Ovis aries: one gene and its partners. The protein of the gene in region 1 interacts with the protein of each later gene in a pairwise test. Links are inferred from orthologs where the notes say so. Each region holds a gene or a part of one and is shown on either strand. Other genes may lie near its edges. The genes, in order: KLHL2, SDCBP, CUL3, TMA16, BCAM and TXNDC12.

Region 1 (4,954 bases):
GAATGCAGCACTTTTACATCATCTGCTTTTAGGATCTGAGAAATTTCAGTCAGTGAAGTCCAAAAATATGAGAACCTCTGCTCTAATTCAACTAATTTTCTGGCTTCCCAAATCCCTCATAATACAGTCAACAAGATGTTAGTCTGCCTATGCTGAACATCTCTAATGTTCAAGAGCTCTCAGTGATGTGGAATCAACTGAAAAAAGGTACAGTTGTATATCTGAGGCATGTTTACTTAGCTTCATTAAGAACAAGCAAAAAACCAAAGCCTGTAGGGAAAAAGCCAACTTGTGAAAGAGGGTCAGTAGAGAAAGGAAGGCCAAGAAAACTTTTCAGTTCAAAGGGATGCATTCTGTGCTATACTCATAGTCTTCAGTAATTATAAAAATCTTCACAAAAATAACTATAAAGGCTAGAAATGTATAAAACACTCATGAGGTCAGGGGTGATCAGCTTACACTTCCTTTCACACATCTCAGTACTGCTTAAGACGACTCATTTGCTAACCTATATAAATTTCAGTTGAACACTTTTCAGGTTCAATCAGAGGCAAATATCCCATGGTTTTAATATTGCCCAGACCCAAAAATATAACAGAATCTAAAAGATACATATACTCAAGGATGCAGAAAACAACAAATAGAGATATAAAGTCCATGACAATCAACATGAGAATCAAAAAGGATGAGAAGAGCTTGAAGGCAAGGAGTAGAAAGAGGAGAAGGGAAAAAAACCCTAATCTCAACAAGCCCATCTAAAGGAACCAGAGACCTGGACACAGTCGCCTCCAACCTTCCCAGACGTAACAGACTGAGAAGGAGCAAGGTGGGATTTGAAAATGATGCAAAACCGGTTGCTAAAAAAACTCACAAGCAAAAGTATAATACTCAGTACCAGGTAGAGACAGGCATTTCAAATATTTGGAGAAACAAATATTTGCACAAATAAAAAGACATTCATACAAAGAGGATGTGAGTCCCCGCTTCCAACCACATCATTCAAAGCACGTAGGTCCCCATCAACCAACTTTCTTTGCATTTAAGCTCAGGCTAAAAATCTAACCTTATGAAAAGCTGAGCCCTCTCAATAACCGACACTGGCCTCCTAGCCCAGTTCTAGCACAGCGAGGCCCAGCAAAGTTCCTTCCCTAAGAACTGTCATTTCTCAAATCCAGCAGCCATGAGTCAGTGTCGAAGGAAAAAACAAAGTTATTGGGAGCGGAGGCAAAGAGGCCAAGGAGTGGGAAGAAAAACTATTTTTGATGTACAGAAAGGTAAAAAACACTCCAGTTCTGGAATTATAGTATTCCTAGATAGACCAAATGAAAATAAAACCTATTTCTATTTATCATTAAATGAACAGAAATAAAAGTATACCAACTTAAGCCACTAATGACTGAAAGGAGTTTTTTGGTTTTAACTTTGTTTCACCCCTGGTTTTCCATTACATCTCAGCCTCTCATTGTTGCAGCTCTACTGATGAAGCCTTAATAGCAAAGAACTATGCTGGACACCCAAAATTCTGCTTAGTTGATCTGTATTAGATTCAGTTTATCAGTATTTGCATGCACACATTTATTTCATTTTTCATTACTTATATTTAAATGACGTGTAATGTTCTTTTCCTCCCTTCAGAGCCTGCTTTCCCAAAGCTTTTTCTCATCTGCATTCTAAGGTACCCTTTTTCTTTCCTTTAGTTCACTTTGCTGCCAAAGCAAAACAGGGTCTGCAGGGAACTGATATAAACAGGGCAGGTTTATGGCAAATAATACCCTACCTAAGATATCCTTTATACCATGTGTTGTCTACAGTCAGGTAGCAATTCCTTTTATGCCCCTGAGCCTGAGCACAACCCATGTGCTGACGCTATGCTCACATTGTTGATGCTAACAACCATCATCATGTTTCCTAGAGGTTCAGGAGTGTTCCCAAACCTGCTGAACAACATGAACATATCACAAAGTCCTCAAAGCCACAACCATCATCAAGCAACTGAGCTCTTGTTCCTACCAGTCCAGGAATTCAAGAGTCTCAGGTACTCCTTAATCCCCATGACCTGGTTCTACTCAAGCTAAAAATTCTGTAAGGCATTTTTAGAAACTGTAGTTTCAGAATTCTATTAGCTCTCCTAAAAGGACTCAACATCAAACAAACTTTCAGCCCAAAACAAATTTAGCTGGCATTCTGCCAAATAGCTATAAAAGGTTGCTGTTGTACAACTGCCCTGAAGTGAAGCTGGCCAAATCTAAATGAAAAGTGATAAAGCTCCAAGAATAAGCGGTCATAAAAAGATACATGGTTCCTCAGAAGAAATTTGCTGGCGGTTTGAAACCTCAGATTCAAAGGGCTCTTGTCCCTTTATAAAGATTAAACTAAAGAAAGTAAATCAAACTTGAAATGTTCAAAATTCCTGCGGATTAATAGTCCACTTTTAACAAAATGCTAAAGAAAAATCTTGTATTGAATAATGCAGTTTCTTCAATGTCTCCCAAGTAACTGTTCAGCTTATTTTGGAAGCAATTTTGTTGCAGGTCTTGAATGTACTTGGGTACCAAGGAAAAGACACCTGTGCCTGGCAGGTCGTACGCTACTAATTCGCCCAAGGTGCCAGAGAAACAGAAGATGCTGTGATTTCTGGACACGATTTTCTGCTGTGCCAGGTAAAAGAGGTCACATGACCTGTACAGCCACGGTTCAGCTTTTTCCGAGCAATGTGGCAAGCTCCTCGGACAGAATTTTGCTAGGAATTCGGAGAAACAGGCAAGCTGAGAGGAATTCCTCTCGGCACCGGTGTCTGTACTTTGCAGCTTCCTTTTCCGACGGCCTCGCGCGCATCCTGTGTCTCCATCCCGCCGATGCTCGGCCCTCCCTGGGCTCCAGCTAGCCAGCAGAGGACCCTCCCTACAGCCCCGCGCGGCGACGCCCCGCCCGCGGGTCAGCTGGGTTCCGCCTGCCGCCCGGCCCGGCCGCTACGGCCCCGCCCGCTGCCCGTCCGCTCACTCACGCGGGAGGCCGCGGCGGCGTCTCCATGGCGGCTCCTCTCGGGCTTCAGCTCTACGGCGCCCGCCGCCGCCAGCACCATTCCAGCTGCGGACGCCTGCCCCGCCCGCCCGTCGCGCCGCGTCCCATCCGCCCGGGCGCCAGCCCACCGCCGCCCCGCACCCGCGCCTGCACCGGCACCCGCTCCAGAAGCGGCCCCGCTTGCCGGCCCAGCTCTGCAGCCGCACTTCACGGGCGCTCTCCGCCTGCCGGCGATGCTGGGGGCGGAGCGGCAGGAGGGCACTTCCGGGTGTGACGCGCCCTCAAGACCCCGCCCCGCCTCTTCCTGCCGCTGCCGAGTGGGCTCCCAGGGTGGGTTCTCCTGCCCGAACCCTTGAGCGGGAGACGTGAGGGCGGGGTCCGGCCGGAAAGCGCGTGGTCCCGGCGTTTGGCGTTCCCTGACTGCTCCACTCCACAGGCGCCTTTGTTTTGTCCTCTCGCAGTTTACCGCCAGGTAGGCGGGAGGAGTGGGCGTAGCCGATCCTTCCTTTACAGATAGTGAAACTGAGGCAAGAAGAAATGGCTCGCCTGTCCAGAGTCCCAAGCAGGAACTGGAGCCTCACTTCTCAGGCTGTGATCCCCTCGTTGCACTTACTGGGAGAGATCTACAGCACTGTAATGGGATGCAGAGAAAAATTAGGTATCCTTGCCCGCGTACCTGCCTGCCATGAAAATACCGAATAGTCAGGTGAGACCGGAAGCTAAATGGTGGTCAAGGATTGAAGTCGCTCAGTCGTGTCCGACTCTTTGTGATCCCATGGACTGTAGTCTACCAAGCTTCTGTGTCCATGGGATTTTCCAGGCAAGAGTACTGGCGTGGGTTGCCATTTCCTTCTCCAGGGGATCATTCCTGACCCAGGGATCGAACCCAGGTCTCCTGCATTGCAGGCAGACGCTTTACCTTCTGAGCCACTAGGGAAAGGCCTCTCAAAATATGTCATATAGAAGAGATGGAAGAAAGCGAATCTTGAGTAAATCAGAGTGCTCAGGGCAGAGGGGAGAGCAGTGCAAAGACTCCTGGACCTTGAAGAAATGAAAGAGTACAGTGCAGCTGATGGTCCCCCAAGTATGCCGCTGGGCAGTGGTAGGATCTGGGAACTTGTTAGAAAGGCAAATTCTCGAGGCCTATTTCAGATCTGAATCAGAAGTTCTGAGAATGAAGCCCAGCAGCCTGTGCTGTGACAAGCCTTCCAGAGGATACTAAGGTTTAAGGACCTCTCTGGCATCTGAGCAGTCAGGACAGGAGACAGTGGAAGGAGATGGTGTCCCGCGTGTAGTCCCCCTGGTAGGCCTTTGAAAAGATTTCAGCTTTTATTGAAAAGAAAAACAAATGCTGTGAGCAAGGTGATCTGATCACTAAAAGGATGACTTTGCTGGGATTTGTTTTAAAATCCTCCACCAAAAAAGGGAGGGTAGGGAATGGAAGAAAGAAGATGGCAAAAATGTTAATTTTTGTTACTGAGTGATAAGTGCACAGGGTTAGTCATTTATGTGTAAGCTGATTCTTCTGTTGCTATATGAGCCACAGATCCAAGAAAGCAAACAAAAAATTGCCTGCTGGGATGATCAAAGTGATAGAAGTTTATAGATTCTGTTTTTTCGGAAAATATAAAGCAGATCAGAATTACTGATAGATTAAACATGAGTATAAGAGACCAGAGTGAAAGATGATCTCAAGTTTTGTTCTGGGCTCTTAGGAGAGTGGAATAGACATTTACTGAGATTGAGAAAATAAAGAAGAAACAGATTTTATGTGGAGAGGGGAGTATTTGTCAGTTCTGATTTAAACATAGTTAAATCTGAGGTGTCCGTTAAGTATCCATGTGTGGATAGGTGTAGACATTTAGATATCTGGAGTGAACTAAGCCAGAAAGAAAAACACCAGTACAGTATACTAACGCATATATATGGAATT
Region 2 (4,511 bases), on another chromosome or scaffold:
TTTTTTCAAAACTGCTACAATGATTCAAGAAAACTCTAATTCAAACTCAGTACTATTAGCATCAAGTGGGAATAGAGCAGGTTTTTTAATGAGTTCAGCTCTAAGGGTCTCAGGTAATCTAGCTGATTGCAAATAAGCTATCTATCCTGGCCAGTAAGATACAGGTAAGTCCTTCAATCCTTGTATGTTAAGGCTGAATGGTTAAAAAAGACAACGCTATTAATGCTATGAACTAGAGGGAAATATGTGTGGGTTGTTTTTTTTTTTTTTTGGCGGGGGTGGGATGGGGTGGGGAGACTATCACTGATTTAAGACAAGTGAGCTCTTTATGGATTAGTCCTGACAATTCTCCTCACAACAACCCCCAAAAGGAGCTAGCTGCATTCTATTCCAGCTTCTGGGTAAACAAACATTCCATTACAGGAGTTACATCTTTTAATGTTTTAAATATCATTTATCTTTCATGTAGATACTGAAAGGACTGTGCTGGCTAAGCCAGGACAGAATGTAAGATGCTACCGGGCAGACAGCCCCAGCCACCCCTGTTTTTTTCTTTCTCCTCAGCTTCCAGCCCTCACTCCTGAGGACTTCCAAAATGTAAATAATTTAAATACTTCAAATTTCTGAATAATGCCAATGTCATCCACCAAAGTACCAAAGGTTTGAGAAGCTTGAGAATTAAGGAAGTACAGAGCCTCTATGAAATCACATGAGCACAGAATGAAGTCAAAGAATTCTCTACTTACCGTTTAATAATGTGTTCAAAGATAAAAGCAGGCATGATTGTAATAGTCACTATATTTCCAGCTGTAGACAATATGTCTGCAATTTGAGAGTCCTGTGGAAAACAATGAAAATTCTGAGAGGCTCTATTAAATATAAAACTAAGTTATTCTTGGTAAAGAAATATATATGTTCTGAGGTTTTGCTAATGTCTCTAAAATCCTGACTCCTGCTATTTAAATTTTTTCCAGTTTCTTTACCAAGTTTTAATTCATCAGTGGCAACAAAACTAAGTAAACTACGTTGAATATATTAGCCAACATAGCATTCTTTTTCTAGAGATTAAATAATTGCCCCCATATACAATATTACCACATCCCCTCTGCTAACATTAATTCTTAATGAAAACCTTTAGACCTCAAAATAGTTCTATTTAGGAATTTGTAGAGGGCATAAACCATAAAAATGAAGTACTAATTTGGCTATGAACTATTACTCATATTTTTCCTACAACCCCTGGACTGAAAAAAGCAATTGGACAAAAAAGCAACCATTCATTCAGGATCTCATCAACATCTTCACTGCCCAGGTATTCACAGAAGTCTAGTTCAAGGGACTTCAGAGATCTCACCCTGACCCCCAGTTACAGAGGCCACAATTCTAGATGTAACATGAGGGCACAGCCAGCGCGACAAAGAATGTCTCCATTTTGGTCACTAACAGCACCACCCCAACAGACAAATGAAAAAGAGACTTCCAAAACTAAACAACACAATGTAAGTTCTACTCTGACCTTCAGTCCGATGACGTTCTGTCCGTTGACCTCACAGATGTTATGTTCCGTGAGAAGACCGTTTCTAGCTGCAGAACTGTCTTTCACAATGGATGTGATTTTTCCATTTTTAAAAACAAAGCCAACGTGTCCAGTACTGTCCTTATGCATGGTAATTGTCCGTTCAAAGGGCCTGTGAGCATAACAGTTTCAATTAAAATTGTTAATTCCAAGGTAAACATGTCAATGGATTTCCATTATGGTGTACTGGATACTTTGTTACCATAAATTATTTCAAAACTATTTGCCTTGGTATGTACATCTTGTGTAAAAGTTTAAAAATTCTCTCCATTATGGCTGGACTAATCAAGATTTCCTTCTTTTAAGAATCAAAGAATTAACACAATGCTTCATGCAGTTTATCAATGTGCTTTTTCCTTTACATTAACATTACGTTTGAACAAAAATCAGTGTTAAAAATGAATTAACTTTTCAGCAGATGAATGGATAAGAAAGCTGTGGTACATATACACAATGGAGTATTACTCAGCCGTAAAAAAGAATTCATTTGAATCAGTTCTGATGAGATGGATGAAACTGGAGCCGATTATACAGAGTGAAGTAAGCCAGAAAGAAAAACACCAATACAGTATACTAACACATATATATGGAATTTAGGAAGATGGCAATGACGACCCTGTATGCAAGACAGGGAAAGAGACACAGATGTGTATAACGGACCTTTGGACTCAGAGGGAGAGGGTGGGATGATTTGGGAGAATGACATTCTAACATGTATACTATCATGTAAGAATTGAATTGCCAGTCTATGTCTGACGCAGGATGCAGCATCCTTGGGGCTGGTGCATGGGGATGACCCAGAGAGATGTTATGGGGAGGGAGGTGGGAGGGGGGTTCATGTTTGGGAACGCATGTAAGAATTAAAGATATTAAAATTTAAAAAATAAAAAAATTTTAAAAAAATAAATAAAAGAAAAAAAATAAAAATGAATTAACTTTTTAGTATTTCCTGGAGCTTAATTTTTCTTAGGAAATACTTAGAACCTTTGTAATATTTCTCACATCTTGATTTTTAAAACTTTACAAAGGTATTTTTGCTGCTGCAGCAGTTAAGACGGAAGCTCCCGGTCCCTTAGAAAGGGAGGAGCTTCAGAAAGATGGCATCCGCTCTGAGCACTGACAACCTGTTACTGCACATGTTTCATGTGCAAAATAAATACGAATTTTACATTATAAAGTTCACAGCAGTCATGTCTTCCTGGTGATCCAAGTTACTTTTTGAAACTTTGCTCACATAAGAGCAAAAGTGCCATTTGTCTGCAAAATGTTTACTTAATAGCTACCATGTATTATTCAAAGCGAAAACACAAAGGTAGACAAAAGCCAGTTGAACCAATATGAACAAAAATGCCAAAGCTAAAAATGTGTTACAAGGTCTGCCCCTCAACCCCTGCGTGGCCGAGAAGGTGGTGGTGTCCGTAGCACAGGTACCGCAAGTTCCATTATAAACAAGCTAAAGATGATGCTCCCACCAAGGACTCGAGCCTCAGCCACCCAGAAGGCCAGGCTGGGTTTTGGGAACTGGTAGGCCCCCATGTATCCACTCTGAGCAGGAAACCAGGGGCAAAGTCCAGACACTTGTTGCTGTTACCTTTCATTTTTCAGAGAAACTGATTAAGACAGGAAAGGAACTTCTCAAAGGACAAATTTCTGTAAGCTCTGAAATAAGGTGTATGCAAAACCAGAATACTGTTTTTAAAAAGTCAAACTATGTAAGAAAGTGAAAGCAACACAGAACTACAAGAGTATAAATATAAAACTAATCAATAATATTTGATTATTTTCCGCAACAAAATGCTGTATTTCCAGAACCTTAAAACCCTAAGAAAATGGAAAACTAGTCCTTAATGTCCACATGTGGCGTTTAGTTGGCTCACCTGTCCCGAATGGTCATGGTGATCTTCTCTCCAAAAGCCTGTTTGAGCACCTTGTGCGCCCGGTCCGAGCTCCAGCCAGCACAGTTCTCGCCGTTTATCTGAAGTACCTGGTCCCCAAACCGCAGGCCCACCAGGGAGGACGGAGAATTGGCCTGGACAAGCTGAACAAATATACCCTGGAGGATGGAAATCACTAAGTAAGTGCTGGAAAATCAGGAACCAACTGTTTAGGCAGCTACTCTAGTAATTTTTTTTTAAAAAAGAGAAAACTACACAAGTGTGTTTCATTACTCCCAAGAAGGAAACTGAAAATGCTATCAAGGCAACAGGAAGATCTGAGTGGTAATTTCTAGCTCACATCATGACTCACCTGACCAAATTCCATCACCCCCTCCACCTTGGAATAAAAAAACTAAGGAAAATAAAGTCAGATTACTATAAGAAATGTAAGGTTCCATGAGTCTGATAAAATACCAAACAGGTATTACTGCACCTGGTCATTATTTAGGAGGGAAGACAGTAAAGTGTTGGAAGTTTAAGAAAAGTGATAGGTTTAGGTCAGAAGTTTACCTTTTGAGCTGAAGAATTCCTTTACTCGCTTGCTAAATTACGCATAATCACTACTATTAAACAGCCTAAAAAGGTGGGTACACGGAATACAACCCCCGTTCTTAAAAATCTTCGAGGTAAATACAGAGAACTCAAGTACAGGTATCTGAGAACTAAACCCACAGGCTATTTTTACTCATGTAAACTAAATTTCAGATGCTGAACACTATCAACAAGCCAAGTGTAAAAGGCATGTGCCAGTAAGAGATGAAAGCAACCACAGGTCGCACCCCTTCTCCGTCCTGAGCTGCCCCAGATTTGGTGCTGCGTAGCCTGTACTCAGATTTGGTGCTGCGTATCCTGTACTTGAGGACGGCACCCAGCAGAGTGGCTACACCTACAAGCTTCGGCCACTGGACAAACCACTGCAAGGATAACTGCTGCAGGGGTGGAGCTGCGGAGAGTGTGGTCTCTCTCTAGGATGTAGAGAGGGCAGGGAAGTGCGAGCT
Region 3 (4,511 bases), on another chromosome or scaffold:
GCTGTATACCCAGTGCCTAGAACAATGCTTGGCACAGAAACAGTGAGCATACACACCGAGGAAACCAGAATTGAAAGAGACACATGTACCCCAATGTTCATTGCAGCACTGTTTATAATAGCCAGGACATGGAAACAACCTAGATGTCCATCAGCAGATGAATGGATAAGAAAGCTGTGGTACATATACACAATGGAGTATTACTCAGCCATTAAAAATACATTTGAATCAGTTCTAATGAAATGGATGAAACTGGAGCCGATTATACAGAGTGAAGTAAGCCAGAAAGAAAAACACCAATACAGTATACTGACACATATATATATATACGGAATTTAGAAAGATGGTAATGATGACCCTGTATGCGAGACAGCAAAAGAGACACAGATGTATAGAACGGACTTTTGGACTCTGAGGGAGAGGGAGAGGGTGGGATGATTTGGGAGAATGACATTGAAACATGTATACTATCATGTAAGAAACGAAGTGCCAGTCTATGTTTGATACAGGATGCTTGGGGATGGTGCATGGGGATGATTGAGAGAGATGGTATGGGGTGGGAGGTGGGAGGGGGATTCAGGATTGGGAGCCTGTATATACCCATGGTGGATTCATGTCAATGTACGGCAAAACCAATATAATACTGTAAAGTAAAATAAAGTAAAAATAAAAAAATAAATAAATAAAAAGAGAAAGAACCTCAAGAACTATTGCTCTAATGGTTTGGACCTTTTATTTCTAGCTATTGTAATAATATTTTTAAGCCATTCAGCTTATTTGCAAAGACACTACACGACAGAGACAAGTACACAAAGACAAGGTACTGGAAAAGTCTCTCTGGATATAATTTGTTGATATAAATGAACAGAAATATGATAGCAAGGTGGTTTTCCTGTCCTTATCCGCATGAAAAAAGTAAAACACAGGAAATAATGCACAAATACTTAAAATTTCCTTCAGCATAATAAATATGACTTGTCTAAATAAAGTATACTACAAGTATTCAGAATTTTAAGAAAGTACTTGTTATATGACTTCTGAAAGTAAACAGAAGAGTCATTCTATTTCAACAGGTCAAGAACCTTTAAGATAGTAACAGAAATATCTGAGGATTGGTGACATTTTAAAAGGGCTCCAAGATTTCAGAAAGTTCAAGATTTGTTTTGATTACTCTGTCACTTTTCATCAAATCTTTCTAATGAAAATAAAGGCTTAGGAGACTTAGAGCTTAAGATTCTTAGTGTATAAACAATTACAAAATAGTGAGGAATTGCATGCAAATAATGGCTCTACAAAGTGGAAGCTGCAACAAGATCAGCAGATATATAACTCTGAGCATCTCGACAAGTACTCTACTTAAAGGGTTAACAAATTATGAAACGAATATTCCACCATAAAGTGCAGGATATATCTGAACAGTCAAAATGGAAGAACAGAAAATGCACAAATTTCATAGAAAGAAACAGAATCTGATAAAATGATTGCGTTGAACAATCCCAATGCAAAAGAATCAGTTCAGTTCAGTCCAGTCCAGTCGCTCCGTAGTGTCAGACTCTTTGCGACCCCATGGACTGCAGCACGCCAGCACTCCCTGTCCATCACCAACTGCTGGAGTCCACCCAAACCCATGTCCATTGAGTCGATGATGCCATCCAACCATCTCATCCTGTCATCCCCTTCTCCTCCTGCCCTCAATCTTTCCCAGCATCAGGATCTTTTCAAATGAGTCAGCTCTTTGCATCAGATGGCCAAAGTATTGGAGTTTCAGCTTCAACATCAGTCCTTCCAATGAATACCCAGGACTGATCTCCACAGAATGGTCAACAGTAAACAGAGATGGTAATTTTTCAATCAAAAGGCCTTCAACTATCACAGAAAAGGTACTTGGACACTTATTAAAAAAAACCTTAAGGTGAATGCAAAGTTGAAAAAGTTTAACAAAAAAGAAAAGAGAAAATCCTAAAGTTCATTATACCCCACTGAAATCTTTTCAAAAACTTCACTGGACTCAAAAGTCTTACTGTAAGTTGCAGCTCACTGCCTTCTGGCAATCACAATACAAAAGCACACTTACAACACACCAGCATCAGCGCTGCTCTACTCAGGTCACCCTTTACCAACCCTGAGGATGTCAGGCCCATTTATCCCGATCTTTCACATGAATAAGAATAACGAGGTACAAAAAGCTCAGGTAACAATTATAAGACAGTACCATCCTAGGGTAAAGAAAAAGTATTAAAACTCAGTAAGCTTGCCTAGGGAGCTTCCCCGGAGGCTCAGCAGTAAAGAATCTGCCTGCCAATGCAGGAGATGCAGGTTCAATTGCTGGGTCAGGAAGATCCCCCGGAGAAGGAAATAGCAACCCACCCCAGTATTCTTGCCTGAGAAAATCCCATGGACAGAGGAGCCTGGCTGGCTAGAGTCCACAGGGTCACAAAGAGTTAGACACGACTGAGCGACTAAGCAACAAGAAGTTTGCCTAAGCCTGGTATTCTTTCCATAATCTATAACGGTTATAACAGCCAAGTAACTCTATTAAATATTCAGTGCATTCCTTCAAGTAGGGAGGATAAACTAAGTTGTTTAAGAATGAGAATATATTTTAAGATTAGAAAAGTTAGGAAAACAGGTTATATGGGGTAAATAATTTTTAAAGCCCTCACAGACAATACATATGTTGTCTCTAATGACATTTAAAGAAACGACACCAGCAATTCAGTTATCTAAATGGATGAAAATGCCTATTACAAAACACTGTATATAAAAAACATTTACATAAGTAGAAATTAATTTAAGAGTCTCACCCCAGTGGCCTGTAGATGTTGCCTGAACTCATCCATAGTTGTGTTTGAGATGCTCATATCCCTAAACATTCCTTCCAGTTTTGATGTGAATTGACATCCACATTCAGTCTGTAGAAGAAAAACACAAATATACACAAATGATGGATTTTGTTATGAGGAAACATACAAACTCTTCCATGTTACTGCCATCCTTTCTAAATCTTTCTAATAGTTGTTTTATGCCTGTAGGCACCAACTTTAGTGGGATTAATAACCTACGAATTTTATTTTAAAATGCAAATTTCCAGACTCTCTCTGGGATTTCCGTAAAGCCAACTGAAGGTGGGGCCCAGAACTCTCTGGTTTTAACAAGAAACACCCATATTAGGTGATATGGGTGCAGGTGGCCTATGGATCACACTCTGTGAGTCTGTCATACTCCATTTACTGCTTTCCTTGTACTGATCCTCCCTCAGATTGCCATAAACATATCTGCTTCACCAAGAGAAATTTCAGTACACTGTGAACGTCCCAGAACTTGAACAAATCTCAATACAACGTTCTCTTAAAAAAAAAAAAAGAAAGAGAGAAACCCCAAGTCCCTCAAAATCTAGCTTTGTTCATTTACAAAAACAAATATTTTAAATCAATTATTTCCCAATTATTTGTTTGCTGGTGCTCAATTATGTGATAAACATTAGCTAAGGGCACTCCGTTCCATCTTAAATACACCTTACCTTTAACTTAGAAATCATATTTTTTTCAGAGTCATCAGAAACACTTTTATTTGTAAGAAGTCTCCTTGCCAAGTGTTGCTTATAATAACGTTCAAATACATCTTTTTCTTGCATAAACCTAAAAAGGACCATTGCCTTATCCAATATTGTTTCTACTTCTTGTTCTGTTAGCTGCAAATCAATCAGAAGACAATTTAACAATTACACAGCTTTAATTCTACAAAAACAGCATCACAGTTCAGTTTTAAAACAACATTAATAACAAACATAAATATCTGGTTGACCAAGGTCAGAAAGGAGATATAATGTGAGAAAATATGGCCCACTTCCTACAGCTCACTCTTACATTCTGAACTAGTGCAACGTGAATCAGAAGTTGGAATGGAGCTCCACTCCCCAGTGGGCTAACTCTGAAAGGGAGAGGCTGATACATGGCTGGATTAAAGGATGACTGAGAATAGCTGAAATGAAATTTTAATCACATAAGAGAATTTTACAGTGCCCTTGCATTGTAAAACATATTGGACAAAATTTATATGAGCTCATTCAAAATTGAAATTGTTCAAAGAGAAGCATAACAATATGTTATATTTCCCAAAGCAGAAAGGTCTCTTGCCCCTAATCTTTTAAACAAGAGCAAGATGATACTGTGGCAGGTTGTATTCAGTTTATATTAAAAATTACGGAAGACTACTTAGATGTGTCTTTTCTATTCGGTATCCTTGGTAATCTTCCTCTTGTTTCTCTGCTATTACTACCTACTTGCTGCTTTGCCCTTATGTCTCACAAATCCCAAGATGAAGTCAGCAAGACCAATTTACACATAATCCCAATCTGTTTATTTTGATTTTCTGTGCTATAGTACGCTTCCAAGATCCCACATATATTATAAACACTTGAAACTGAGCTTCCATATATGCTATCAAACTATTTTCTGATACTTATTCTAGACTAGGCCTTCAAATTCTTGACACTCAAGTACTACTGGATA
Region 4 (5,205 bases), on another chromosome or scaffold:
TTATCAATTGATTTTTCAGCAGCAACTGCAAGCCAAAAGGGAGTGGTAGGATATATTTAAAGGGATGAAAGGGAAAATCCTACAACCAAGATTACTCTATCCACCAAAGATCTCACCCAGATTCAACACAGAAATCAAAAGCTTTACAGACAAGGAAAATAGCTGAGAGAATTCAGCACTACCAAACCAGCTTTACAACAAATACTACAGGAACATGGGGGCATGGGTGGAGGAGAAACATATGAAAAAAGACCTATAAAAACACCCAAAACAGTAAAGGAAATGGTAATGAAAAATCTCAAGTAAACAACCTAAGCTTACACCTGAAGCATATATATAAATAATCAACTTAAATGGAAATATATTAAATGCTCCAACCAAAAGACAGAGACTAGCTAAACGCATACAAAAACAAAACTCCTATATATGCTGTCTACCAGAAACCCACTTTAGACCTAGGGATACATACAGACAAAGTGAGGGGCTGGAAAAAGATATTTCATGCAAATGGAAAGCAAAAGAAAGCTGGAGTAGCAATACTCATGTTAGGTAGTTAGAATAGGGAAAGAGAGTCCAGAATGGCACTGGCTAAAAGATAAGGAAGAGAAAAGCCCGGGAAAGTAGAACAAAAGAAGGTCCGAGGACTGGAGTGAGGACCACAGTTAAAACAAACACTCCTGGCAAGCCCAATTTATATAGGACAGGCCCAGGGAGAAAAAACAAACACATAAAAAGAGGAGCCAAAGCACTCTCTCTCTCCCCCACACGCGGCGGGGTGCTCTTCTCTTTGCGTCTTTGGATCAACATGCCCTCACGCCTCAAAGATGGACTTTCCAACTGTCTTCTAGATAAAATACAGCTGTAACACTGAGCTGTAACACTGATTTGTCTAAGAGCTATAACACGGTCCATTCGAGACTTGAGAGCTATAACACGGTCTATCCAAGACCCGAGAGCTGTGACATGCTGAGGGGGCTTTAATGTCCGTCACTCCAAATTTTTGTTGTGAGGAGACGAAAACCGAGGAGCATACAGTCGCCTAACACACTCACATGCAAAAGAATGAAACTGGTCCTCCCTTACACCACTTGCAAAAATTTACTCAAAATAGATGAAAGATTTAAATGTAAGCCCTCAACTGTAAAACTCTTAGTAGAAAACATAGGAAGAAAAGTTTCTTAACAGTCAGCAATGACTGTTTGGGTATGAAACCAAAGGCATAAGCAACAAACCCCCAAATAAGCAAGTAGGACTACATCAAATGAAAAAGCTTCTGCAGAGCAAAAGAAATGATCAACAAAATAAAAAGGAACCTACAGGAGTTGGAAGAAAATATTGGCAAAATCACCTACCTGATCAGGAGTTAGTATCCAAAATATAAAAGGAATTCATACAATAACAACAACAACAAAAATCTAATTAAAAACTGGGCAAAGGACATGAGTAGACACTTTTCCAAACAATATATACACATGACCATCAGGTACCTCTACTATTACTAAAGGTAACTGCAATAACTAACATTCACTAAGCACTAGACACTGGGCTAAGCTGTTTACACTTAATTTTCATAATTCTACGAGGTAGACACTATGATTACTCCAACTTAACAGGATAACTGAGTTTTAGAGGGGTTAAGTAACTTCATCAAGACCATAATTTAGCAAAGACAGGTGCCAAACATCTTCCAGGACTCCACTGCCCACATTCTGAACTGTAGGAAAGAATTTTATAGAGTAACTGATACAAATGTACAGATGGAAAAACCTCCAGCTCCAAGCTGAGTTTAAATTCAAGACAGGATGCAACAGAGACACTACTGATGCACCAGAAAAACGACAGGCCAGGAAACGTGCCAGTGAGAACAGATTTATATTCCTTGACTCATAAGGCAACATACTCCTACTGTACAGCATGACAAAAGTGAAGTTCTGACAGTCAAGGACAACTACAGTCAAATGTTAATGAACACCCCCAATCACGAACACACAATCCAACTACTAACAGTAGTTAGGCTAGAAAATTATGAAGAGCTGGCAATCGCACATACTGATACGTAAAAAAGACTGAATTTACACAAACGTATAGCCTGAAGCAAAAACTGACGTGAAAAATGAAAATACAATGAAAAGGAGAAAAAAAATTAAAAGGGAGTAACGACACTGAGGCCAGATAACTTTCTGCCACACTATAAACTTTCTATGTCGTTGTTTTCGTTAGAAACTGAAAAATGAATATTTAAAAACCATGTTCAGAGAAGGCAATGGCACCCCACTCCAGTACTCTTGCCTGGAAAATACCACGGACGGAGGAGCCTGGTGGGCTGCAGTCCATGGGACAGCGAAGAGTCGGACACGACTGAGCGACTTCACTTTCACGCACTGGAGAAGGAAATGGCAACCCACTCCAGTGTTCTTGTCTGGAGAATCCCAGGGACAGCGGAGCCTGATGGGTCATAGAGTCGGACACGACTGAAGCGACTTAGCAGCAGCAGCATGTTCGTATTCAAGAAATATTCTCAAGAACAGAAGCGAAAAAAGCAAGAAAGAGCAGCTCTGGAATACAAACAAGCGGTAAGTATAAAGACAAGCAAGCAGAATTTGGATACTGGTTTCCTCTAAGTGGCTCATGGGGACACAGATTCAAGGAGGGGAACGGGGATTTCTTATAGTAAGTAGTAAACGGGAATTCCTTATACAGTTGACCTTTATACTTAAGGCGCGGAGGCGGGGCCTGGGGTGGGAGTGGTCACTGGCGGGAAGGCGGGGAACGGACCCGAGGCCAGGCGATCGCGCCGCGGCAGCTGCTCTCAGTTCAGCCGCGTCCCCTGCGTCCCCCGCCCCACCCGCTGAGGAGCGGCCGGGCGGAGCCTCACGCAATCCCGCGGGCCGGGGGCGGAGCCACGCAGGGCCCCGACCAGAGACCCGACCGCGCGGAGCACTCGCCCGCCCCACCCCCCGTTCTCACTCCCTACCCGCTCCCAGCCGCCCGACGCCGGCCCGCCTCCCCGACCCGGCACTGACCGGGCCTTCTAGGAACCTGGGGGAACCCACCATGGCGACGTTCGCACGGTGCGAGTCTCCGGAACTCAGACTGCACACGCCAGCACCTGACGGCCCGTCGCGCGGCGAGTCCCGCCAAACACACGAGGGGCGGAAGAAGCCGCGCGACTCGACCGGAAGCGGGAGGGCGAGTGCTCTTTCCTGAAACGTCCCGGGAAACAAGACCCCGGTCTTTGTGAGCCGCAGGAGACTGACGCGTCAGTCGGGCGCTCTCCGGTGCCGAGGGAAACGTAGGCTCTCAGGCGTCTGCCCTGCGCTCAGATCCAAGACCACACAGCCTCTTCCGACGAGGCGGCTCTAGGCTTCCGCCCAGCGCAGGCCTGCCGTCTGCGCCTCCCGGCTGCCGGAGCGAGGCTCCCCCGAGGCTCTGTCCTCACCAGTGAGAGTCCCGTCTGCACACTCGAGACTTCCTCTCACCTGCTTTTTCTGTGTTCTCAGGATGTGTCTTCGTTCCATCTGTACTTGGTAGGATTCCATGGACATTATATTCATTCAGCAAATTGTGTGCAAGGCTTTGGGAACGGACAAACTATTTCCATGCCCTTGCTCCGCTCATATTTCAAGGCAGAATGTGGAGGGAAAAAAAAAAATCCACAAAACAAAACCCTATCAATTCATATTGTTTCCAGTAGTGTTAGTATTCTAAAAAATAAAGTTGAAATTAAGGCAGAGAAGTTGTTTTAGGCGTGGTGGTCTCAGAAATCCACTTTTGAAAGAGTTGAACAGAGACCTATGTTCAAGGCAAAATTTTCAAGACACTTACTAACGGAAGTGAAGTGAAGTGAAATGAAAGTTACTCAGTCGTGTCCGACTCTTTGCGACTCCGTGGGCTATACAGTCCATGGAATTCTCCAGGCCAGAATACTGGAGTGGGTAGCCTTTCCCTTCTCCAGGGGATCTTCCTAACTCAGGGATCATATCCAGGTCTCCCGCATTGCAGGCGGATTCTTTGCCAGCTGAGCCACCAGGGAAGCCCAGGGGAAGTTAAGACAAACTTTACTCAAGAGATTTCTCCTCTGTGTAAGGATCACCACAATGGGGGAGAGATCTACTCTTAATATACGTGGACAAGTGGGAATTTATAGCCAAGGAGCAGAGTCGGGGTTGGTGGATGGAAAGTACTATGAGGAAACATTAAGGTTATAACGGTGTGTTCTGGCTACACCAACCTGATGGCGTAGGTGCTAAGTTGCTTCAGTTGTGTCCGACTCTGTGTGACCCTATGTATTGCAGTCCACTATGCTCCTTTGTCCTTGGGATTCTCCAGGCAAGAATACTGGAGTCGGTTACCCGCGGCCTCCTCCAGAGGATCATGCCGACCCAGGGAAGGAACCTAGGTCTCTTCCGTCTAACCTGCACTGGCAGTTGAGTTCTTTACCACTAGCGCCATCTGGGAAGCCCAACCTGGAAATAGGCAGGCTGGTGTAATCAGCCTTCACCTGATATTAATAGATGCGGAGGTTGACCAGATATGGAGGATTGGGGATTCTGTCTAAACTGACTTCCCTACTAAAACTGAACAATCAGGTAAGAATAGGAAAGCCAAAATTCCAGGCCTAGTTGAAAAATGAGTTCAGAAGAACCTAAGTAGAATTTGGTCAAGGAGAGACTCTTGTCACCTGAATTAAAGGAGAAAACCAGACAGTGGCAAGGAGCTACAGACATAGTGAAGTTTGGTGTGTTTGTTAGATATGTTTGCACAGGTTCATGTATTTAATCAACAAATATAGCCATTTAAAACTAAATTGTAACCAAGAGTGGGTGACCACAGGATCCATGAATCTTGGGGCAATGCTTTTAAGTGTGTGAAAGTGCATTGTGCATGAAGCTACACAATCAAGGGCAGACTTGCAGTATGTACTCTGGAAGTATTATTCTGCTGAGAACAGTTAACCCATAGTGTTTACACCCTACTTCTGTACTCTCACCATTTCCTGTGAAGCCGCCTTACACACACCCAAGCCTATTCCCTGAATCTGGCTCAGGGCACATCATTGTTCTGAGTTCTGTGTTACTGCAAATCCAGTAAGCATTAAATTATTATTCTGTGGTCATAATTTTAAAAGTTTACGAGTAACAATTGCTGGAGAAGCTGTGGAGAAAAGGGAAACCTATATGGCTGGTAGGAATGTAAGCTGGTGCA
Region 5 (5,194 bases), on another chromosome or scaffold:
CACTCACCGGAGTTCACCTCCAGGGGCACGGCCAGGGGCTGCCCGTTCCGATACCACATGATCTTGGGGGCTGGGTTCCCGTTGCGGCTGCTGCAAGTGGCTATCTGGGACAGACACAGACCCGCCCGGGCTGGGAGCCAGGTCCCTGGAGTCTGGGGACCAGACCAGACCCAGACACACGAGTCCAGCTCCCAAGCCTCTCCTCCCGGGAGACCCAAGGTTGGAACTCCTGGACCCCTACTCCTGGACTGGGAAGCCCAAGCCCCCAGCTTCTCCCGACCTTGAGCTGTAGGAGCCCAGGACCCCCTCCTCCCCTCAGAATCCTGGAAGCAAGATGCGGCCCAAGGTACCTCCTGGGCAAAGTCATCCATCACAGACAGGGTTCCTTTGTTGGGGGAGACCTCCGGGGCCTCTGGTTTGGCTGCGGGAGGGACTTACAGTCAGGAGCTGGTTCCCAGGGTTCTCACCTCCCTGCCCTTTCCCAGGATGTGTGTGTGTTGTGGGAGGGGGGCGGCGGTTGGAGGGGAGGCACAGACACTCACCAAACACACTGAGCCTGGCGGTGGCCTCGGCAATGCCTGCTGCCCCCGTCTTCACCACGCACACGTAATCGCGCTCGTCACCCACCTGGGCCTCAGGCAGCACCAGGCGCCCCCTGGAGTCCAGCTGGTATGGGGGGCTGCGGCCCTGGGAGCTGAGATCTTTGTCCCAGAGCTTGGACCCATGCAGCTCGGCCCAGGCCAGGCGGTGGCGAGCCCAGGAGCGGTCGACCTGCGGGGGCAGGCGGGGAGCATCTCAGCGAGAGGCTGCCCGGCCGCGGGCCCTCCTCCGTGTCCCCTTTCCCTCTGCCGCTCCGTGGGTCTCCTCTCACGCTCTCTCTCTGGTCCCTCCGTCCTCTCTCCAGCTCTCCCACCCCCGCTCCCTGTCTGTGGTCACCTTTCCCCCTCTCTGGTTCCCTCCTTCCACCTCTGTCTTCCTTTCCTGCCCTGGGTCTCCTGTTTCTCTTTCTCTTTAGTCCCATCCCCGGGCTCCTGCCTTCTGGGTGTCTGCCTCTGAATGTCCTCTTCCAAGAGCCAAGGGACCTCTTTCATTCTAGCCTCAGCTGTGCCCAACACCAGGGTACCCTGGAGAGGGGCTTCCTCTCGCTGGGCCTCCATTTCCCCACCTGTAAAATGGAAAGGCAGCTTGGTGGGGCTCCTAGGGGCTTTCGGGCTCGGATGAGGGGATGAACATTTGCAGCCCCACTGCGCCCTGACTCTCAGGCCCCGCTCTGTCATGTCCTCGTTCCCAGCCCACAGCACTCACCAGAAACCATTCCAGCATGAAATAGTCATGGGTCCCCAAGGGGCTGCAGTCCAGAGTGACAGACTCCCCCCTCATCACCTCCACCAGGGGGGGCACAGACAGGCGGACCTCAGCCTTGGAACCTGCAGGAGGGTGACTGAGCTCTCTCCCACTGCCACCAGGAGGCAGAGCTCTCTAGGTCCCCAGTCCTCCTCCCCCAGCCCCTCCGCCCCCAGACCCAGTGGTCCAGGCCCCCAGCCCCTCCTCCCCCAGACCCAGGGGTCCAGGCCCCCAGCCCCTGCTCCCTCAGATTCAGCTCCTCTCTCCCTTCATCTCTCATTTCTGCATCTCTAAGCTCCAGATCCCATCAGCACGTCTCTCCATCTCTCCGTTCACTTGCAGAACTGAAGACTCCTCCCCTGGGCCACACAGGGCCCCGGTGGCCTCCATACCATCCGCTTGGACTCAAATCCTGTGTGTCCTTGCTTGTCCCCCAGACCAAATGCCCCTTGAGGGCAGGGCCTTGGCGGGCTCATTCCTTAGCCTCCAGCACTTCACCTGGGGCCTGGCACAACGAGATGGATAATCATCTCCATCTCAGTCACCGCCTCTGCGTGTGTGTGCGTGTGTGTGTGTGCGCGCGTGTGCGCCCCTCACCCTGCGTCTCGTCTCTTAGTTTCACGGTTCTCTGCGTTCCTCTCAGTCTCCGTGTTGCCCAGCCCTGCCCCCCGGGTCTCTCCATCCGGAGCAGTGGGGGAGGGGGTGGGGGGCTGGGGCTGGGCCAGAGCTGAGGCAGGATGGGTGTGTGGGCGCGGTGAAGGGGGACAGGGCTGGGCAGGTTTCAGGAATGTGGGAGGGACAGGCTGGCTCAGGCCTGCCCGAGCCCCCTACCCTCGCCTCGGCCCCTCTAACTCTTTGAGAGAGCAGCAGCACGTGCCTCACAGCAGGACAGGGTGGAGGGCTCGGATCCTGGGTCCTGAGGGAGAAGGGAGCAGAGGGCCAGGACTCCAGTCCCAGGATCCGGGCAGGTAGAGGTGAAAAGCGAGCTCTTTCAGCCTCTGGGCTGGCAATCCGGCCTGAGCTCTCAGTTCTTAGAGTCTCCCTCCCTTCCCCGCCCAGCCTGGCCCCGCTTTGCCCCTGGGGACCCACTGTTCGCCATGCTTGTGCCAGGGGCCTGGATTCCCAGGCACCCACCTCTGGCCCGGGCCTGCCCCATGGGAGGGAGTGTGGGGCCAGGCTGGTGCCCAGGGCTGGGTCCAAGCGGTGGAGACAGCAAGGATGGTCAGAGGGATCTCTCTCTCCCCCAGTTCTCTCTTCCCGCAGCCCCTGAGGGCCTCTACCTCTCCTCCAACCCCCACGCAGGTGCGTGGCTTTATCTGGGCCCCCGGGAAGGGGGGCTCTGTCACTTGGAAACACTTGGTTCCGCTGTCACTGCCCAGGGGCTGGGCTCCAGCCCTCTCTGATGGAGCGGGAGGCGAGAGGGGCGGGTCCTTTAGAGTCTGGGCTCTGAATCTGAATAGGGGGAACCCGCAATCGCATGTGACTTGCTGGTTTCTAGCCAGAGGGTCCCTGACCCTCTCAAAACTTGACAACTTTTGAGCGGGGAGTTCCGCTTTGGTCTCTTCTGTCCCCGGGGAAAAGGCACTCTGGCCACTGGAGGCCAGGACCTCTGGGTCCGGGGGAGTAGGGGCCAGGCGGGGGTGGGAGCGGGGGCAGATCCCAGCGTCTGAGCGGGCAGGGAGCGGAGCGCCCGCACTCCTGGGTCCAACGGCTTCTCAGATCGCTTCTAATACACAGCTGAGGATCCCCAGCCCTCTGCCAGGCTGTCGCTGGGTCTCTCCCTGGGAGGGGCACTCCATATCCCTCCTTTCCTGGGGTCCCTGGGGTCGGCGAAAGCCCCTCCCCATCTCCCCTCCCCTCCCCGCGCCTCCCAGGCGCGCCCTGCTCTCAGCCCGAGCCATACCTGGGTGCGCCTCCAGCAGGAGCGCGAGCACCAGCAACAGCGGGGCCCCACGGGCCCCAGCCCGCGCGTCTGGGGGCTCCATGTTCAAGGCGGCGGCGGCAGCGGGCGGCGAGCGGCGGGCGGCAGCGGCAGGGACTGAGCCCGGGCTGGGACTCCTCGGCCGCCGGGACTGGAGCGAGGAGGCCCCGCCCCAGGCAGCCCCGCCCCACCCCGCCCTCCCGGTCTCCCCCTCGTCCCCCTCCAAAGCCGGGCGCCAGGCCAGGACCTCCCACTGCCCGGAGCCGACCTCCCAGCGCTCAGCCGGGAGCCAGGCTCCCCGCCCCCCCGGCCCCAGGGTGTCAGGCTCCAACTGACCAGCGCCCCTGGCGGGTGACCCGACCAACCAGTTCGGCCGGTGTCCAGAGCGGGGGTCCTCCCTGGACCCCCGCGGATCCTCTCCGCCTCATTCTCACTGGCGGGACCCGTTCCCTCCCCGGCCAGTGACGTGGGCTCCCCTCGTCGTTTTCGACCTGCTGGCCCGGGTCCAACCAGTGGACCTGCACCGGCCTCTCCCAGTCCAACCAGCAATCCCCAGCCTCCCCAGTGGCCAGTGCGCTAGGCTGCTTTCCTGTCTGACCAGCGGCCTGGAACCCACCCGGTTCTAATGTCTAATAGTTCTAATGTCTAACGATCTTCAACACCCAGCTCTGCCCAGGCCTCTGAGATGCTGGCAGGGGTGGGGGCTGTGGGGTGCTCTTCTCTTAGCTTTCCTCCCTAGGGCCCTCCCTCTCTTCCCCCCTTCCAGGGAATCCTAGGAATGCCACCCCCCTTCCTCCCTTTCTCTTCCCTTTACTCCCTTCCAGCTTTGGGGGGAGGGGAAGAGAAACGGGGTTGACAGGTGAGTGGGGGCGGGGAGGAGGCCCAGGCACCTGAGGGAAAAAAAGGAGGAGTCCTGCCATGGGTCACAAGGAAGGGTCACAGGTCAGACTTGGGATCACAGATCAGAGTGTCCAGGGCTCCTTACAAGGCAGGCCTGGCTGGGACAAAATTCCTAGATGCTGGCTGGGGGGTGGGGTGAGATTTCACTGGTTACCCGGGAGAAGCTAGCCCTCAACACTGGCTAGTAAGGGGCAGCTGGTCATGCTGGGAGACTTTCCCCAGGCCTCTGATCAGATGTGGGGGGTGGATGGGCAGAAGAGGGACCACTGGTCAGGCACCAGGGACATCTTGGATTATAGGTCAGCACGGGGGTTATTGGTTAGACTTGTCAAGGCTACTTTGTCCATACAGGAGAGCGATGGTTATAGATGGGAGAGGTGACCTTTTAGCGTTAGCTCCCCTTCTCCAGAAAGCCCTCCGTGCTCTCCTCGGCTGAGTCAAGTGCCCACCTCTGGGCTCCCCCACCTAGCCCTGCCCATTCTGGGTCAGCTCTGTCTGGGGATGAGTTTGTCTCCTCCACTGGACAGAGAGCCAGGAAGGGAAGGGCCAGGGCTGTTGTGATCACTACTGCGTCCCCAGTACTGTCCAGCCCAGGCAAGACATGGAGCAAGAACTCAGGGAAGGTATGCAAGGCTCAAATGCAGGAGTACACAGGCTCACATGCAAACCCCACCCAGACTGGATCATGGCCCAACACGGCCCACTGCAAACTCGAGAGTGGACAAAAGAGCTCCCTGGCACAAGCTTCCACACAGGGACCCCAGGCACCCACTCCCCAGCTCCCCTGCCCCTGGCTCATACACCTTCTGCTCGGGCTGCTAGGTATACCCTTTCCTCAACAGCCCCCTTCCACCTTCCTTAATCCAACCAGCCGGGGGGTTCTGGTTCCGGTTCATAAACGTGGGGGTGTGTGGAGTGTGTGCGAAGGAGGAAAGTCATAAATGCCAGGGCCATTTCCTTGAGGGCTTGCACCAACCAGTACTGAAGTATCTGTCTTTGTCCCCTACAATTTACTCCCATAAAACAGCC
Region 6 (4,511 bases), on another chromosome or scaffold:
GCTTGTTACAATAATGTTCTGTGCTTGCCTGCTCAGTCACTAAGTCATTTTGTGACCCATGTAGCCCGCCAGGCTCCTCTGTCTACAAGAATACTGGAGTGGGTTGCCATTTTTCTTACTCATTTAATAAATATTTATTTACTAAATATCTCCTTTGTGTCAGACATTTCAAGAATCTTGTCATATACTCCGAATAATACTGATGAAGTATTAACCTTCCTGCAGCTTACATTCTCAAAGAAAGAGGTAGAGAATGAACTTGTAACTTCAGCATAGTTATGAACAGTGCCCCTGTCACTCTCAGTGTTCCACTGGAGGTGATACCTTATAAGATCCCTCTTTTTATACTGTTGAAATAATACACAGGGTAAAGAAAAAGAGAGTATGGGGGAGGGTAGGCTGTGACTATTAATAAAGTCAGTGAAACTTTAATGAGAAATGATGGAGCAAAGCCTGTAGATAGCACAGGGAAGAGTGGTCCAGGCAAGCACAGCAGCAAATGCAGACTCCAATGCAGGGAGGCCCCAATATTTTCTAATGTTAATATTATTTTCTTGAAGGAGGCAGGAAAGGCTTTAAGCAGGGGAGTGACGTGGTCTCATCTGTGTTTTAGAAAGATTACTCTGGGGGAAGTTAAGGAGGATGGATGACAGGAGAGAATATCAGAGGCAAGTAGTCAAGTCACAGGCTGTAACAGTAAACAGGAAGTAGAAAAGGCCTGTCCCATACAAAACAGTGACAGTGAGGATAGAGGGAATTTGGGTATTTGAAAAGTAGAAGAGACAAGCTCTGACATCCTTTAGAATGTGGGAGATGCAGGTGTGGGAACAGCCCTAGATAGAGCTCTTGGATGAGGCTCTCAAGGTTAGTTTTCTTCCTGAAGTGCTCTCCCTCCACTCCCCAGTAAGAAAAAGGCCATCACAACACATTTCCTTTTAAAGTTTTATTAAAGTTTAATGGAACAATTAATATTTTTTCTTTTTTTGTTATTAATCCCAGTACAAAAATACAGTTGACGACTTGACAAAAATGGCTCCATCTAGGGCTAGAAGGTTTCTTCCACAGTTAATGGGGGAAAAGAAAGCATGCTTCCAGCTGGGGCCAGTCCAGAGCACACAGCCATTCCCGCACACGCATGCGCGCAGACAGGGAAGCCAAGCCAGAGAAGAGGAGGGAAGTTGCAGGCATTCCGGAAGAAGCCCAAGATTATTCCCAGGAGAAAAAGAAGAGATGGGGTGAGCTCCTTGGTGGGGCAGAATTACGGCTTTACATTTAGAATTTGTTGTCTTAAATAATAAGCTCTTTCCGCAATGTTTAACATTATAGAGAAGATGCTTCTGGTCTCTTTTCACCACCAAGGTGAGTTAAGCAGGAGGAAATGGAAAGATTCAAATACTGCAGTGTGAGGAGTAAATCTCCAAATGGCTCATGTTTTATGTCAAAAGGTGTCATTCTTTACCTTCAATGACAAAGAGATAGTTAGGTGAGAGGGGACAGGACAAGGAAGTCTGCCACAGTCTGCTGGATCACAAACATGGAGACTAGTTTCTGGCAGCAGAATTCTTCCAACAGTGAGGGGGCCTTTCCCATGTGGGAAGGAGCAAGGTTTTCCAATCCATTCAATTGTTCTGATTCCTCAGTATTCCCTTCCCTGCTGCTTTCTTCCAGAACAATATCTTTGAGGAAAGAAGGGATGCATTCATGCTACAACTCATCTTCCAGATGTTTCTCTCTGAAGGCATCACCCGTCAGCCTTTCCTGAGCTTCCTTCATCCCCTGGACAACTGTGAAATAAACATTGAGGGGAAAAACATGAAGCAAGTCTTTCATATTTGACAACCAACACATAATTTTCTGTTTTAGGAGAAATGTAAGAGGAGCATAGGATCTGGATTTAAGATCTAATTCTGGATTTTATCCCAGGAAAGTCTCTTGAATTCATTTTCTCATCTATAAATAAGGTGATGTTACAAACTTCAAACAGATTATAAAAATTAAATGAGAGAATGAATAATAAATGTCCTTTGTAAACTACGAGGTCCTACAAAAATGTTATTTAGCAGTTACTTTGGCTTACCCTCCAGGATTAGTGTTGAATCCCTGTCATAAGCTGGAAATATACACAACACTAAGGGAATAGAAAGCATCTTCCTATCATCTCCATCACGTGTTTGGGATGAATGCTGCATTTATTTCATTTTCTGTGGAGGTTACACTGATATGTGAGCAAGTATGTGTGCTTAGAGGGAGGATGGTTCTTCACGGAAAGAGGTGGTTATGTCCAGTACCAATTATGTATGGAAGAAGTCAAGTTCTCAGGCAAAAGAGAAACCTGGAAGGCAAGCCCTGGGTAGACAGGAGATGAGTCTTCTTGTCTATCTTGGGAATCAAAGAGGGAAGCTGGGTACAGGCTCCCTGTACAATGGCAGGCCAGGTGTTAGGGTTGAGCCACAATCTGTGGATCTCAGAAAGCATAGCAGGTAGTAAAGTTTGTTACACCCCTTTAGTTTTGCCCAAGCATTTAGTAAAGTCAGGTTTGAATATTTCAGCTTCATGTCAGCTGAGCCATGGGGAATTCAGGTAAGGGTTCTGTGTCCATATCTGGACTAATATATTAAAGGATGATGCCCACGTCAAGATGGCAGGGGTAACTGCATGAAATTCTGAAAGGAAGGTGAATTTCAAGGGTCAAGAGTTGGGGACCTAAAGTTCAGTTGCCCTTCTCCATGTGGAAAACTTCCTGGTAATACCAGCCTCCAGGGATCTGCTTTTGGGTAGGGAAGATAACATTCTCCTTACCCATGGGAAGGAGAGGATAACCTCTCCAGATCTTTCCTCTCCCTATTCTGAGAAATAAGAGTGCTGAGGACTCAAAACATAAAATGATCAACAAACTGGCAGCATGACAAAGGAAGAGACACATGGCAACTTAGAAATAACCCTCTTTTACAGATGGCAGGGAGAATTCAGAAGGAAAACAGTGACAGTATGTGGCATGAATTCCAACTTCTGCCTCTAGAATGGTTGCACTCAGGATTAGAGAACAAAAAACCACGACTGACTTGTGACTTCAATCTTCCCTCACATGTTTGTGCTGACGCTGTTCCCTCTGCCTCCAATAATGCTTTGCACATCCCTCTGCTGGTTAGGTCTCATTCTTCAAGACTCAATTCAGTTATCATCCCCTCTAGCATGACTCATGCACTCTCCATGTTGGGCTACACCTGACACCCTTTTCCCTTGCTTCCTTAGCTTGAAATGTCCTTTTCATATCTGACCAAAGAGACAAATTCTTACCTGTCTAGATCAAGTTAGTTTACTATCTATGAAACCTTTCTGAATGGATCATCTAACAGCATTCCCCTACCTTTGAATTCTTACAAGAATAGTGTTAGTGCAGTGGAAAAAAACTAAGTTGTAGACGGAAATCCTGGCTCTGTGACTTATTAACTGTGAGTCCAAGGGCAAGCAACTGTTTCTGGAAGCCTCAGTTCTCCAGTTTCCTATGGGTCAGTTAGCTTCCTACTGGACTGTAAGAAGCTAGAGGAGGGGCTTGCTCTTCTCTTTCTTCTATATCCTACATAGCATCTAGCCAAAAGCTACATGCAGAAGATGCTTAGTGAACATGCTGAATTAGTTTCCCATCAAACTTCGCATGTGGTTCATTCTAGTTAAACCTAGCAGCAACCCTCCCTCTTCTCTCCCAACATAGCCATACCTTGCTCAGCACTGATGTAGAAATACTTATAGCTGGGGTTTCCATTCTCATTGATGATTTCAGGACGCACTTTGCCACTGGGATCTATTGTAGACAAAATGGCACAGGGGTTGCAATAACTACAACAGACAGGTACTTCAAGCATTATATGATATACTAGGCCTTCTGGAAAATGAGACCTACCCATCTTTGCAGCCCATTATCTCACCACCCTACCCACTGTGTTCTACATTGCAATCAAAATGAATCCCTTGGAATTCCCTGAACACAACCCACCCCCACCCTCAACCATGCCTATATACTGTTCCATCTTTCTGGCATGTTCCTTTTCTGCTTGATGATGGTGGGATCCTATATTTTTATTTGTATTCCCCATAGAACCTAGCAGAATGCTGATCAAAGACAAGGTGGTCATTAAATATCTCCCAGGAAATTGTTTCTGAAAAGATATTTGTCTGGTTGCAGTATCCCATTGCCTCAGCTGTGCTACAGGGCAAGGGTGGGAACTATGGCTTCTCTCGGTTCCTGTAGTGCCTAACTTGTGGCTGACAGTGTTTAACTTGTGGCTGATGCAAAGATGATTGCTAAACAAATGAATAAATGATCAGTACTCTCCCATTGCTCACAAAAGCAGTTTGGGTATTGGAGGGGGAACAGGGGGGTTGTTTTATTGTTTATCACAAAAGCAGCTAGTTAATGGGAAAAGTTTTCTTTCAGACCTGAGGCTCTAGCATTTAGAATCCATCACTCTCTTTTGAAAATGGCTTTTGTTTTTAGCCATAACAATATAATT

What was found.
Region 2: the proteins of KLHL2 (region 1) and SDCBP interact in binary tests that used the Homo sapiens proteins (3 or more experiments, as listed by UniProt). The link is inferred for Ovis aries from reciprocal best matches to the Homo sapiens genes KLHL2 and SDCBP.
Region 3: the proteins of KLHL2 (region 1) and CUL3 interact in binary tests that used the Homo sapiens proteins (3 or more experiments, as listed by UniProt). The two-hybrid records come from large-scale screens. The link is inferred for Ovis aries from reciprocal best matches to the Homo sapiens genes KLHL2 and CUL3.
Region 4: the proteins of KLHL2 (region 1) and TMA16 interact in binary tests that used the Homo sapiens proteins (3 or more experiments, as listed by UniProt). The two-hybrid records come from large-scale screens. The link is inferred for Ovis aries from reciprocal best matches to the Homo sapiens genes KLHL2 and TMA16.
Region 5: the proteins of KLHL2 (region 1) and BCAM interact in binary tests that used the Homo sapiens proteins (3 or more experiments, as listed by UniProt). The two-hybrid records come from large-scale screens. The link is inferred for Ovis aries from reciprocal best matches to the Homo sapiens genes KLHL2 and BCAM.
Region 6: the proteins of KLHL2 (region 1) and TXNDC12 interact in binary tests that used the Homo sapiens proteins (3 or more experiments, as listed by UniProt). The two-hybrid records come from large-scale screens. The link is inferred for Ovis aries from reciprocal best matches to the Homo sapiens genes KLHL2 and TXNDC12.

Annotation. Positions count from the first base shown.
Region 1 is NC_056070.1:541,206-546,159, reverse strand, and holds the start of KLHL2 (kelch-like protein 2), read right to left. Parts: upstream 3,251-4,954; 5' UTR 3,031-3,250; coding exon 3,005-3,030; intron 1-3,004. UniProt on the Homo sapiens protein: Substrate-specific adapter of a BCR (BTB-CUL3-RBX1) E3 ubiquitin ligase complex that mediates the ubiquitination of target proteins, such as NPTXR, WNK1, WNK3 and WNK4, leading most often to their proteasomal degradation.
Region 2 is NC_056062.1:37,746,467-37,750,977, reverse strand, and holds part of SDCBP (syntenin-1), read right to left. Parts: intron 3,630-4,511; coding exon 3,454-3,629; intron 1,689-3,453; coding exon 1,367-1,688; 3' UTR 839-1,366; coding exon of another isoform or gene 747-838; 3' UTR 1-746. UniProt on the Homo sapiens protein: Multifunctional adapter protein involved in diverse array of functions including trafficking of transmembrane proteins, neuro and immunomodulation, exosome biogenesis, and tumorigenesis.
Region 3 is NC_056055.1:226,659,820-226,664,330, forward strand, and holds part of CUL3 (cullin-3), read right to left. Parts: intron 3,692-4,511; coding exon 3,521-3,691; intron 2,913-3,520; coding exon 2,805-2,912; intron 1-2,804. UniProt on the Homo sapiens protein: Core component of multiple cullin-RING-based BCR (BTB-CUL3-RBX1) E3 ubiquitin-protein ligase complexes which mediate the ubiquitination and subsequent proteasomal degradation of target proteins.
Region 4 is NC_056059.1:2,386,305-2,391,509, forward strand, and holds the start of TMA16 (translation machinery-associated protein 16), read right to left. Parts: upstream 3,165-5,205; 5' UTR 3,057-3,164; coding exon of another isoform or gene 3,024-3,056; 5' UTR 2,458-3,023; coding exon 2,290-2,457; intron 1-2,289. UniProt on the Homo sapiens protein: Involved in the biogenesis of the 60S ribosomal subunit in the nucleus.
Region 5 is NC_056067.1:52,350,848-52,356,041, reverse strand, and holds the start of BCAM (basal cell adhesion molecule), read right to left. Parts: upstream 3,385-5,194; 5' UTR 3,330-3,384; coding exon 3,248-3,329; intron 1,428-3,247; coding exon 1,306-1,427; intron 772-1,305; coding exon 543-771; intron 422-542; coding exon 351-421; intron 105-350; coding exon 8-104; intron 1-7. UniProt on the Homo sapiens protein: Transmembrane glycoprotein that functions as both a receptor and an adhesion molecule playing a crucial role in cell adhesion, motility, migration and invasion.
Region 6 is NC_056054.1:26,451,190-26,455,700, forward strand, and holds the end of TXNDC12 (thioredoxin domain-containing protein 12), read right to left. Parts: intron 3,803-4,511; coding exon 3,719-3,802; intron 1,785-3,718; coding exon 1,705-1,784; 3' UTR 929-1,704; downstream 1-928. UniProt on the Homo sapiens protein: Protein-disulfide reductase of the endoplasmic reticulum that promotes disulfide bond formation in client proteins through its thiol-disulfide oxidase activity.